Callithrix jacchus: one gene and its partner. The protein of the gene in region 2 purifies or fractionates together with the protein of the main gene of each other region. This does not show direct contact. Links are inferred from orthologs where the notes say so. Each region holds a gene or a part of one and is shown on either strand. Other genes may lie near its edges.

Region 1 (5,887 bases), on a different chromosome or scaffold from region 2:
ATGCTCACTCTGAGGGAGTCCCTGTCTTACCTCTAGCACCAAACCTGCACCAGATCCTGCCCTCTGGCTGTCTACATGTTTTGGGAACTTACTCACCATCTTCACTGTTGCTTTAGTTTGGACCTCATCACTGTGGTCCGGGTGATGCCTTTGCTGCTTCCTGACCTCCCTGCCTCTGGTTTCTCCCCTCAGCTGGTTCTCTCTCCATCCTCTTGCCAACGTGAGCATTCTACAGTTTCTTTCAGATCATGACACTCTCCTATTTGAGATGGTTCCTGTGTCTCTGTTGGAACCCAGACTTCTTAGCATGGCACCTGCCCTTCCTGCTGCATTTCCTGATCTCTTCCCTGTGTGTGTGCATTTGTGCACATGTCTGTGCGTAGGTGCATACTTGCAATCCTCTGACCACACTGTTCATTCTCTTCCATCAAACTCATCTGCCTGGCATACCTTAAACACCTGCCCCAGGCCAGCTGTGATGGCTCACATCTGTAATCCCAGCACTTTGGAAGGCTGAGGTGGATGGATCACTTGAGGTCAGGAATTTAAGAACAGCCAGGTCAACATGGTGAAATCCCATCTCATCAAATACAAAAAAATTAGCTGGGTGTGGTGGTGGGCACCTGTAATCCCAGCTACTCAGGAGGCTGAGGCAGGAGAAATGCTTGAATCTGGGAGGTGGAGGTTGCAGTGAGCTGAGATTGTGCTACTGCACTTCAGCCTAGGCAACAGAGCAACATTCGGTCTCAAAAAACAAATACCTGCCCCATTGACTTTTTGCTTTTCATTTTTAAAAATGGGCAAGATAGACATATGGGACAGAAAGCATAGAAGATCCAAAGTGATGTCTCCGTGTCTTTCTCGCATCCCTGCCCCTTCGCCTCCCAGTTCTCTCTGGAGGCAGCCATTGTTCCTTGCATATCCTTCCAGAGATTCTACATATAAATAAACCAACACACACACACACACTCCCTCCTTTTACTTTCGCACAAATAGGAGTATACCATATACACTTTATTTGTTAACTGTCAGCCTTTCCCTAGAATATTGCATATTCTTTAAATGTAGAGACTTGGCCTTTTTTTTTTTCTTTCACTGATACATTCCCTATACCTAGAACAGTACCTCATGCATAATAGGTGCTGTATAAATTTTTACTGATAAATGTTGACCGACTACTGGAGGCACTAGTGGCATAGTATTTATAGAATCAGTGCACTGGCTTACAAATCTGATTACAGCTCAGTAAGTGTGTGAGCCTCACTGAGCCTCAGTGTCCTCATCTGGAAAATGGGAATGACCATCATTTCACAAGGCTTGAGCTAAAGGCATGTAAAGTGTGTTGTAAACTGAATGCTCTACTCATGTAAGACTTGCTTTCTTCAAAGCGTCTCTCTTTTTCTCCTACCTTAGATAATTTTTCCTTTGCAATGGCCTGTGTCCATCCTGCTCCACTCCTGGGGCCACCCTGGACCAGGTCTTCATCATCTCATATCTAGATGCTTGCTGTGCCTCCTAGCTGGCCACTCTTCTGTAATTTCTCCGCCTCTGAGCTCTCTAAGCAGCTGAATCCTCTCACTAGTGAAGTCCTCTGGTTGGATGCTGATGAGACTGACCAGGTGAATCCAGTCGAAAACATCACACCTGCCAGTGATCTGGTTCTAAAGACCCAATTTTCCATAGGTCCCTAACACCGTCCTGCATGCCACCTGCCTGATTTCCCCATCACATCGTCCCACGTAGCTGGCCCACTTAGGTCTTTTGTCTGCAGGGAAGCCTTTCCGGAAGACCCTTAAACGGGAGGTTTTCAAAAGGGGGCTCCCTGTGGAACGTTTGCCAATGTCTGGACACATTTCATTTGTCACAAATGGAGACAGGGATGCTACAGGGATCTGACAGATAAAGGCCAGGGATGCTGCTGAACATCTGCAATACATAGGGCAGCCCCCGCCCCCCAAAGAATGATCCAGCCCAAATGTCACTGGTGCTGAGATTGAGTAACCCTGTCTTAAACTGAACTCATCATCTCTCCATTCCAGCCATGGTGGATTCTGCCTCCTCTGAACCATTCCCATCTCACTTAAGCCTACCTATATCACAAAGCTTGGCACTCATTATAGACTCCCCTATTTATTACTCCTTCAAGATGTGCAATAATCTTTTCTCAGCACTTTTAAGTTCTGTGAGGACAGAGTGTGTGTCATTCCTATAATAACCAGCATAGGATGTGGCACATACTGTGTGCTCAGTGAACCTAGATTTGTTGATTGTTGACTGACTTGCTCTAGAGTTGGAAATCTTATGCTTGTGGAAACTTAGTATCTCTCTCTCTCTCTCTCTCTCTCTCTCTCTCTCTCTCTCTCTTTCTCTCTCTCTCTCTCTCTCTCTCTGTGTGTGTACGTGCGCATTTGTGCACATGTGTGTGCGTAGGTGTGAGACCAAAGGCCTGGCTGAGCAACAGGCAGGAACAGACAAGACTGATGCTGTCTGTGGTGAGTCCTGGAAAATGGGCCCCAGAGACAGCCTGGGAAGGTGGGGGCTGAAAGGGGAGGCGGAGGCACACAGGGACACTGGATGAGAAAAGGGGGAGGGGAGGCAGTTTGGGGGTGTGGTATCACAGCTCTGCCACTTACCTTGGGAGCCTGGGCAAATCACTTCTCCTCTCTTAGCCTCAGTTTCTTCATCTGTATAATGGGATAACAGCACCTCCCTTGGTAGATTTTGATTTTAGAGGGAGAAGGTTGGCCTACAGCACAGATCAGATAATGTTAATCAGTGAAAAAGGTCAGGGGTAAGAAAAATACATTCCCTTTGCTTTCTCTTAAAATTTACTTTCCTATTCCTAGGGCTGGGACTAGAATGAGGTGAGCATGGCACTTGCCCTTCAGCACAATATTTAAGAAGGTGCCTTAAAAGTGTAATAATCAAGGTAGATTCATCTTTTAAATTATTTATTGGTAGATTCATTTTGATGCAATATTTTTAAAAATAAAAATTAATGCAAAGAAATCCACGATGAGCAAGATAGCAACATTTTAAATAAAGAACAGGACCCAACCCTGTGTTTGCATGACTCTGCCTCTCTTGCCTCACCCTAATCCTGGCTCTGGTTCCAATAAAATGAATAGGCAGCCAGCCTGCAGGCCGTAGTTTGCTGACTTGGTGTCTGCCTGATGATTTCCAAAATATGGCATGAAAAGAGTACTTATCTTGATGCCTGAGTTTTTGGGTCGTCCTTTTCAATTTTGTCCTGAAACAATTTCATTCCTTGCCTCACCCTAGTCGCTGCCCTGCCTTTTGGTCTTTTATTTTTCTACTTAGAAAAAAAAAACCAGGCACGAGAAATACTTTACCTTTCCCCTCCACTCTTCTATACCAAAAGCAACATGCTGACATGAATCATGCTAGACTTCAGCACTGGACAGAGAGCAGGGAGTGATGGGGAGCGTGGTAAGCAGGTGGTGACAGCCACGGCTGCTACTTGCTTCTTGCTGATGGTTCCCAGGTGGGGAGGCTGCCCACTGAAACCTGGTCTTCCCAGTTTGTAAGAGAAATCAGATGTCTAGTTTTAATAGGTGATCTCCCAGTTTTAAAATGCCGGCAAATATTTCCAAACATTAAAAAATGTTCTGGTTCCTTTAAAGACATCTGCCAGCCACGTTTCCCCAAGGGCCACGGTTTGAACCCTTTGATGTAGATGAGCTCTGACACTGGAGGATTCTGGAGTCTGAAATGTCACAGCAGGTTTGGGGTGGGGAGAAACTGCAGGTCGGGGGGTGCATGCCGAAGTCCTGATTTCTCCAGGTCCCCAGAATCGGCTGAGACTCCTGGCGGTGATCCCCATCATGTTGGGGATCCTGTTTGCCATCCTCCTGGTGCTGGTCTTTATCAGTGAGTCCCCAGGTGGGGAGGTGATGGGGAAGGGAGTGGGGACCACCTGTTTACCGATCTAGCCTCTCCAACTCCCCTTTCATTTTCTTTTTCTCTAGAAAAGGTGGACAGGAAGCCACAGGATAAGGTAGGTCATCCCTGAGACCGGGACAGAGTTTTGGCAAACTGGAAAGATGGCCTCATGGTTACCTATAGGGCAGTAAAACTGATTCAGAGTCTGTCCCTGCCGCCAGGGGGGTGGCAGCAGAATTGGGGACTCTCACCCCCACCCACCATGCTCCTTCCATCCAGAGTTCAATCTCCGCAGAACTGCCCCTGGTACCCCTGGCAGAGCCTAACACTGGCTGTTCTCCATGCCTTTCCTGACATTCAACACGTGGGGAGCTGCATCTTTGGGTCTTGGGGCTAGGTCAGATGGGTGGGAGCAAATGTAGCAGCCCCGTAAGCTCACTGACTCCCACTCTGGAAGCTCCTCCTCACCCTTGGTGTGGCCAGCAGGGGGCAGGAGGTACCCGAGGAATTGGCACTGACCTGCCATCTGGGAAAGGGAAAGAGCTTGGGGAGGGGATCCACTTCCCAGGGAGGGGCTCCTCAGAGGCACAGCTGCCCCTGTTGCTGGGGTGACCTCACACCTTGCCTCCCCAGGCCCCCTGCACCAAGCAGATTCCCCAGGAGATAGACGATCTTCCTGGCCCCAACCCTACCCCTCCAGTGCAGGAGACTTTACATGGATGTCAACCAGTTGCCCAGGAGGATGGTAAAGAGAGTCGCATCTCAGTGCAGGAGAGACAGTGAAGCTGGACGCACCCAGGAGTGTGGCCATGTGGGCAAACAGGCACCTTGCCAGAGAGCCTGGTGCTACTGCTGCTGTGACATGAGGGTGAGGGACTGGCACTGACTGGGCACAGCTCCTCCCTCCTGCTTGCATCCCTGCATGTTGAGACAGGAGACTTAACAGCGGATGCAGAAACACTTCACCTTGAAGAACCTCTCACTTCATCCCTTGAGCCCATCCAGTCTCCCAACTTGTATTAAAGACAGAGGCAGAACTTTGGTGGTGGTGGTGGGGGCTGTGATATAGCAATATCCACCAGGCCTTCCGATCCAGCAGTTTGGTGCCCCGAGAGGCGTCGTAGTGGCTTCCCTGCACACAGGAAGCCACATACATGGATGCCCACTGCAGCGTTGTTTGTGATAGTAAACAACGGGATGCTGCTTAACTGTCCATCAGCAGGAAACCCGCACTTTGGGTCCTGAGCTAAATAAAATTGGAATATGTTTATACAACAGAGTCTCAAAAACACTGTCGAGTAAGGAAAAAAGTGTGTTGCTGAATGATGGGTATGAAACCTTTAAAAAAAAAGTACATGCTTTTATGTATGTATGTTGCCTATGGCTATATGTATAAATATAATATACATCATATATTGGTATAACAAGTGTTCTGGAAGGATACACAGAAAACCCACAGCTCGAAGAGTGGTGACGTCTGGGGTGGGGAAGAAGGGGCTGGGGGAGGGTTGGTTAAAGGGAGATTTGGTTTTCCCATAATGCTTCATTTTTTTTCCCAAAAGGAGAGTGAATTCACGTAATGCTTATGTAATTTAAAAAATCATCAAACATGTAAAAAGAAAAACAGGGGCGAACATGCTGGGTGACATGAGCTGTTTAACCTGCTGCCAGGCTCAGGAATGAGGGCATTTTCTGTAGATCCATGAGAATGTCCCAGGTTGCTGCCTCTCCAGGGTGGTTTCCGTGGGTGCTCACATGTGGCATCGAGGTTACAAAGTGCTCTTCCCATTTGATTCATGGTCACAAAAATAGCCTTCCCAGGCTGGGCAGGCCCGCATGCCCCCGTCTTTTACGGAGGTGGAAATGGAGGTCCAGAGAGGCAAAGTGACTTTCCTGCAGTCACACAGCAGTGTCTGGTGGTGCCATGCTCAGAGCTCCGCACTTTGGGTCCTGAGCTCCTCCCAGATTTGCCTGCTCTCTGGAA
Region 2 (5,887 bases):
CATGTCAGCCCGCCAAGTAGCTAGGACTATAAGCATGGGCCACCATGTCTAGCTAATTTTTACATATTTTGTAGAGATGGGGTCTTCTTATGTTGTCCAGCTGGTCTTGAACTCCTGGGCTCAAGTGATCCACCCACCTTGGCCTTCCAAAGTGCTGGTATCATAGGCATGAACCACTGCGCCTGGCCTACTAGTTTCTTTTGTAATAAAAACATTCAAACATGGCTGGGCATGGTGGCTTACGTCTGTAATCCCAGCATTTTGGCAGGCTGAGGCGGGCAGATCACCTGAGGTCAGGAGTTCGAGAGCAGCCTGACCGACATGGAGAAACCCCGTCTCTACTAAAAATGCAAAATCAGCTGGGTGCAGTGGCGCATGCTTGTAATCCCAGCTACTCAGAAGGTTGAGGCAGGAGAATCACTTGAACCCGGGAGGCAGAAGCTGCAGTGAGCCAAGATTGCGCCATTGCACTGCAGCCTAGGCAACAAGAGCGAAACTCTGTCTCAAAAAAAAAACCAATCATACATGTTGAGCACCATTCTTAGGTCTCTCCTATGCTTCTTCAGAAAAACAACTTTGCTTTTTCATGACTTCAGTCGTCAACTTTTTAATCATTTTTTCCCCTTATTCCCTTTGAACTCTCCATCAGGTTTTCCTTTTCTCTTAATTTATGGATCTAAAACACACAGGTAAAACTCATGTAAATGGAGCCTCCTCATTTATGACAATATTTGGAAGAAAGTAGATTAAATGTTCACTCTTGCTGAAAAATAACTTTTATATACCACTCTAAAACTAGATTCCATTTTTATAGCATAGAGTAAAATATGAAGTTCTTATTAGAGTGGATGTTTCAGAAATACACAAAGTGGTAATTGGTTTGAAAATTGCCTTGAAAGAAAAAAAGCCCACTTTATTAATGATGGTGAAGAGGCACATGCCTGCTTTCCCTTTTGTTCAGAAGCCCACAAACCTTCATATTTTCTTCTAGACCGATCCCTTTTTTTCTTTTTCCTTTTTTTTTTTTTTTTTTTAAGACAGGATCTGACTCTGTCACTCAGGCTGGAGTGCAGTGGTGTGATCTCAACTCACTGCAACCTCTGCCTTCAACGCTCAAGTCATCTTCCCACCTCAGCCTCTCAAGAGTAGCTGGAACTACAGGTGTCCGCTACCACATCCGGCTAATTTTTCTTAGTTTTTGCAGAGAAGGAGTCTCATTTTGTTGCCCAGGCTGGTCTCAAACTCCTGGCCTCAAGTGATCCACCCACATCAGCCTCCCAAAGTGCTGGGATTACAAGTGTGAGCCTCTGGGCTGGGCCAGACCCCTTATTTTTCTAAACCATAAATACATAGAGTTTAAACAATGGAATAAGATAAAATGTGATTTTATAGCAAGATAGGCACTCTTACAGAAGAAATATCTAAAATTCCAAGGAAATAAACAAAATGTAAATATCTTTATGAAATAAGTTTGGTGTTGAATAGAAAAGAGAATAGTAATTTTTAAATTTTTTATTTTGAAACAATTTAGACTTAGAAAAGAGTTGCAAAGGTAATACAGAGTTTGGTTTTGTAGCATCAATTTAAGCCTGCTATGGTCTTCTTGATTTATTTTATCATTTAGGATAATGAAAAATAAGTTCAGGTAAACTTGGTGGCTCACACCTGTAATCCCAGCACTTTGGGAGGCTGAGGTAGGTAGATTATTTGAGCCCAGGAATTTGAGACCAGCCTGGGCAACATAGCGAAAACCCATCTCTACAAAAAAATACAAAAATTATCTGGGTGTGGTGGCACATACCTGTGGTTCCAGCTACTCAGGGGGCTGAGGCAGGAAAACTGCCCAAGTCCAGGAGGTCAGGGCTGCAGTGAGCCATGATTATGCCACTGCACTTCAGCCTGGGTGACAGAGTGAGACTCTGTCTCAAAAACTAGCAAACAACACACACACACACACACACATACACACACACACACACCCCTATCCAACTGAGGCTGGGCATGGTGGCTCACAGCTGTAATTCCAGCACTTTGGGAGGCCAAAGGCAGGAAGATCGCTTAAGGCTAGGATTTCATGACCAGCTTGGACAACATGTTGATACCCTGTTTCTACCAAAGTAATGCAAAAATTAGCCAGGCATGGTGGTCCCAGCTACTCGGGAGGCTGAGGTGAGAAAATCACCTGAGCCCAGGAGGTCAAGGCTGCAGTGAGCTGTGACTGAGCCACTGCACTCCAGCCTGAGCAAGACCCTGTCTCAAAAAAAAAAAAGAAAAGAAATGAAAAGAAGCTAATTCTCCTCTTATTGATAGTTTGAAAGAGAATTTTAATATGGAAAGTTTATTCTGTCATTAATTTCCATGGTGTTGTTTTTACACAGAAGTTTTTGACTATTATCAAGGCCTTAACATTTCTTTATCATATAAGCAATCATCTTCTATAACAACTAAGCAACTTTTGAAACAATTTTTTTTGGTATAAAGTAATTTAACGCAAAAAAATTTGGAATGGGTTTTTCTTGGAGAAATTTAAAAAAAAAGAAAATGAGAAAAAAATATGGAATGGGATTCTCCCATTAGATGAAAGCATATTTTATAGAAATTATTTTCTCTATAGTAATAAAAATATAAAATAATCTTAAGCATTCATATTTTCAAAATATAGTACAGTTGAGATTCTGTGTAATTTTATTTTAAATCCTGTTATATAAGACTTTTAGAATTTCTGATTACTCTTTGGGTAAAAATATGAAAAGCATAAGCAACAATCTACAAAAACTGGGCATATACATAGAGATTTTGTAGTCAAAACATTTTTTAAAATTTATAATATGACACAGTTTCAAACACACAACAAATAACAGCATCCATGTTCCCACTACCCAGATTTTACGAATGTTAACATATTGTCACATTTGCTTCAGAATCTTTTTTTAAGAAATAAAACACTATAGAGACAGTTTTAGTCCCACCACCGGTTAGCGCAATACCACAGAACAGGGCCACCAAAAAGGCTGCCTCCTCTGGCGGTCAGGAAGGGACAAAATCAGAAAGCCAGCGCTGCTGTGACCACTGCAATGGTTGGGTCTGTTCTGTGCCAGATAGATCTCCACTGGCAAAAAATGGATGTCCATGCCCTGCCCTCAATGCCTCCGAAGCTGGTAACAGGACACTGGGATGCCCTCTGGGGAAAACTCAGCACCTTGTCACTGTGTTTACCAACAGAAACCACAGAAGCGGCAGAGGTGTGCTGTCCGTTTCCATCTGCCGGCCAAATCTCAGATGGGCATCTGATTGTCCATCGCAGCAGAATGTTCATGGGAATACTGGCAACCAAAATGATAAAGCTGCTATCTAATATGGTAGAAACTTCTTTAAAGGGTCTTCAAAATCAGATTTCCATTCATATGTCAATGGTACAAATACTTCTAAACCTACATGGCCCTCTTTACCTTTTAATACATAATTAAATGTTACGTAGTATGAGCTAAACGTCATATCTTTTTATCTGAATGCCTATAACTATAACATCAACCATCTGTGTCACCTGTCATACTACTTTGTTTTGTTGGTGACTTTGCCCTGTGCATGAGACTTGTTTTTCCAATTAAACAAATCTTGAATAGAGTAATCAAATCCCGCTTCCCTTTTACGACTTGGAGCACAGGCCTTCACATGTGGCTGCCAGCTGAACGGCTTATTGACTAAAATTCCATGGAGCTCCCTTCTTCCTTCTGTCTCAGATAAGAAATAGAAGCAGAGGAGAGGTAGCCCACTGGGATCTTCCCATAGTTCTAAAAGGCTCTCTGTCCCTGAAGGTTTGCCTTTGTAAAGAATGAAAATTGACTGTAAGTGTATTCCTTTCTAGGGACCAGCCGCACCACCAACTACCTAAGAGAGCTCGTGCTCCTGGGGAGTCCTTGGAGTCCCCTGCCGAGCTGAGACCACAGGTTCCCCAGCCTCCGTCCCCAGCTGCTGTGCCTAGACCCCTTAGCAACCCTCCAGCCAGAGGAACTCTAAAAACAAGCAATTTGCCAGAAGAATTGCGTAAGTTGTTTGCAACATCGTTCTCTCCTTCTTGTCACTTCTTGTACTTTGTGATGGTTGGATGATCACTCATCCATGTCTCAGTTTTTTTTTTTTTTCCAGACAGGGTCTCAGTCCTGTTGCTCAGGCTGGAGTGCAGTAGTGTGATCATGGCTAACGGCAGCCTCAACCCCCCAGGCTCAAGTGATTCTCCCACTAGGGTTACAGGGGCACACCACCACACCCAGATAATTTGCTTATACTTTTGCTAGAGATGGGGTTTCGCCATGTTGCTTAGGCTGGTCTCGAACTGCTGGACTCAAGCGATCCACCCACCTTGGCCTCCCAAAGTGTTAGGATTACAGGCGTGAGCCACTGCACCTGGCCTCATAACCTCAGCTATTTCTCATAGACACACTAAAATAAAATGCACGTTTTTGCTTAAAAAGTAATCAGCATTTTGTATGAATGTTTTTAGTGATTCTGACACCACTAGTAATGCTCTCAAACTGCTTACCTCTAGATTTCCTTAAGCACATACTCCAAAAATAAATAACCCCAATGTCTTTTCCCTATTCTAAATGATGCTCTTGAGTGGACTTGTCCCTGGGTAAATTGATTGGATGTCCATGTGGTATTGGACAAGGACCCAGCATCTCACCATAAGTTACCAGCAGCCATCAAGAACGAGGTCATTTCCTGTAGGAATGAGCAATCTTGTTTGGAAAAAACGGTCTCACATTCTCCAAACTGCAACACAACCAAATGCAAACTAAGCCTTTTATTTAAAGAAACATTCGACTAAGCGTAAGGTGATGATTCTTTTTCCACATTTTGCTGCCAGAACCAGAAATGTTGAAATACCACCAAAATGTTCTCATATTAAGGTCAGTCAGGATGGTAATTTCCAGAAATCTTAAGAAAACAGCCACTACTTGTGCAATTATTACATGATGTGCTTGCTAGAGAAGCTCGGGTAATTCTAATATGCATTTTCCAAATCTGGGAACCTTTTTGAACCAAACCTGAAATGAGGCCTTTTGTATGTGCTGATTCCTTTTGGGGGATCTGTGCTGATTAGTCATTGACAATTCCAAAAGATTTCTATGACAATGATTCATTGCTATTTTCATTCAAAACATTTTATTTCTGAACACTTTCTTCAAATCTTAATCATTTTAATTTTGAGCATTTCTGGAGAACAAATCCTGCCCTGCATATGTCATAGTTCTGATATAAGTTTATAGATCATATATATCTTACCATAATCTATAAAGGAAATCCTAAAATACACAAGAATTGGGTGAATGTTAGGTGTTCAGATGAAAATTGAGTGCCATCAATATATCTGGCTGTTTAAATGAGTTAATATGACCATTACACATACTTCCATTTGGGAGGTGTGTTTCAAAAAACCTCAGTATAGATACAGACTCATATTTTCTCTCCAGCCCCCATTTCTTCTCCATCCTCTGCCCCAAGGGCTTCCTGAGATTTAACTGGTCCATTCCAGACTAAAAGCCAACACAGAGAGATTATTCAGCATTCACATTAAAATGCTAGCCAGACAATTTCCTCAAGACTTTAGCCTGAGAAAACACTGGTTCATCCTGACTGGGTTAATCTCGTCCAAACGGTACTGTCTGCTGCTCTAAGCTGACCCAGGGATGAGTGAGGGAGTCTGTGATGTTAGACTGCCCAGAGACAGTGTCTCTCCTTCAAGCCGCTCAAGTTTTTCTTACTAACATTTCTGAGCTGTGCTTTGGTCTACTCCAAACTTCCTGGCCTTTCTCTAGAAGTGAGTGGATTGCAGGGAAGAAGGGAGCGGGGAACCACTTTCTCATTCTCCTCCCACTTGCTCTTT

Evidence for each region.
Region 1: the proteins of TRAF3IP2 (region 2) and CD40 purify together in Homo sapiens (affinity purification with western blotting, with the first as the bait; 3 studies listed by BioGRID). This does not show direct contact. The link is inferred for Callithrix jacchus from reciprocal best matches to the Homo sapiens genes TRAF3IP2 and CD40.

Annotation. Positions count from the first base shown.
Region 1 is NC_133506.1:41,361,777-41,367,663, forward strand, and holds the end of CD40 (tumor necrosis factor receptor superfamily member 5), read left to right. Parts: intron 1-2,430; coding exon 2,431-2,492; intron 2,493-3,804; coding exon of another isoform or gene 3,805-3,891; intron 3,892-3,989; coding exon 3,990-4,018; intron 4,019-4,536; coding exon 4,537-4,686; 3' UTR 4,687-5,178; downstream 5,179-5,887.
Region 2 is NC_133505.1:117,825,279-117,831,165, reverse strand, and holds part of TRAF3IP2 (E3 ubiquitin ligase TRAF3IP2), read left to right. Parts: intron 1-3,865; coding exon 3,866-4,044; intron 4,045-5,887. UniProt on the Homo sapiens protein: E3 ubiquitin ligase that catalyzes 'Lys-63'-linked polyubiquitination of target protein, enhancing protein-protein interaction and cell signaling. Transfers ubiquitin from E2 ubiquitin-conjugating enzyme UBE2V1-UBE2N to substrate protein.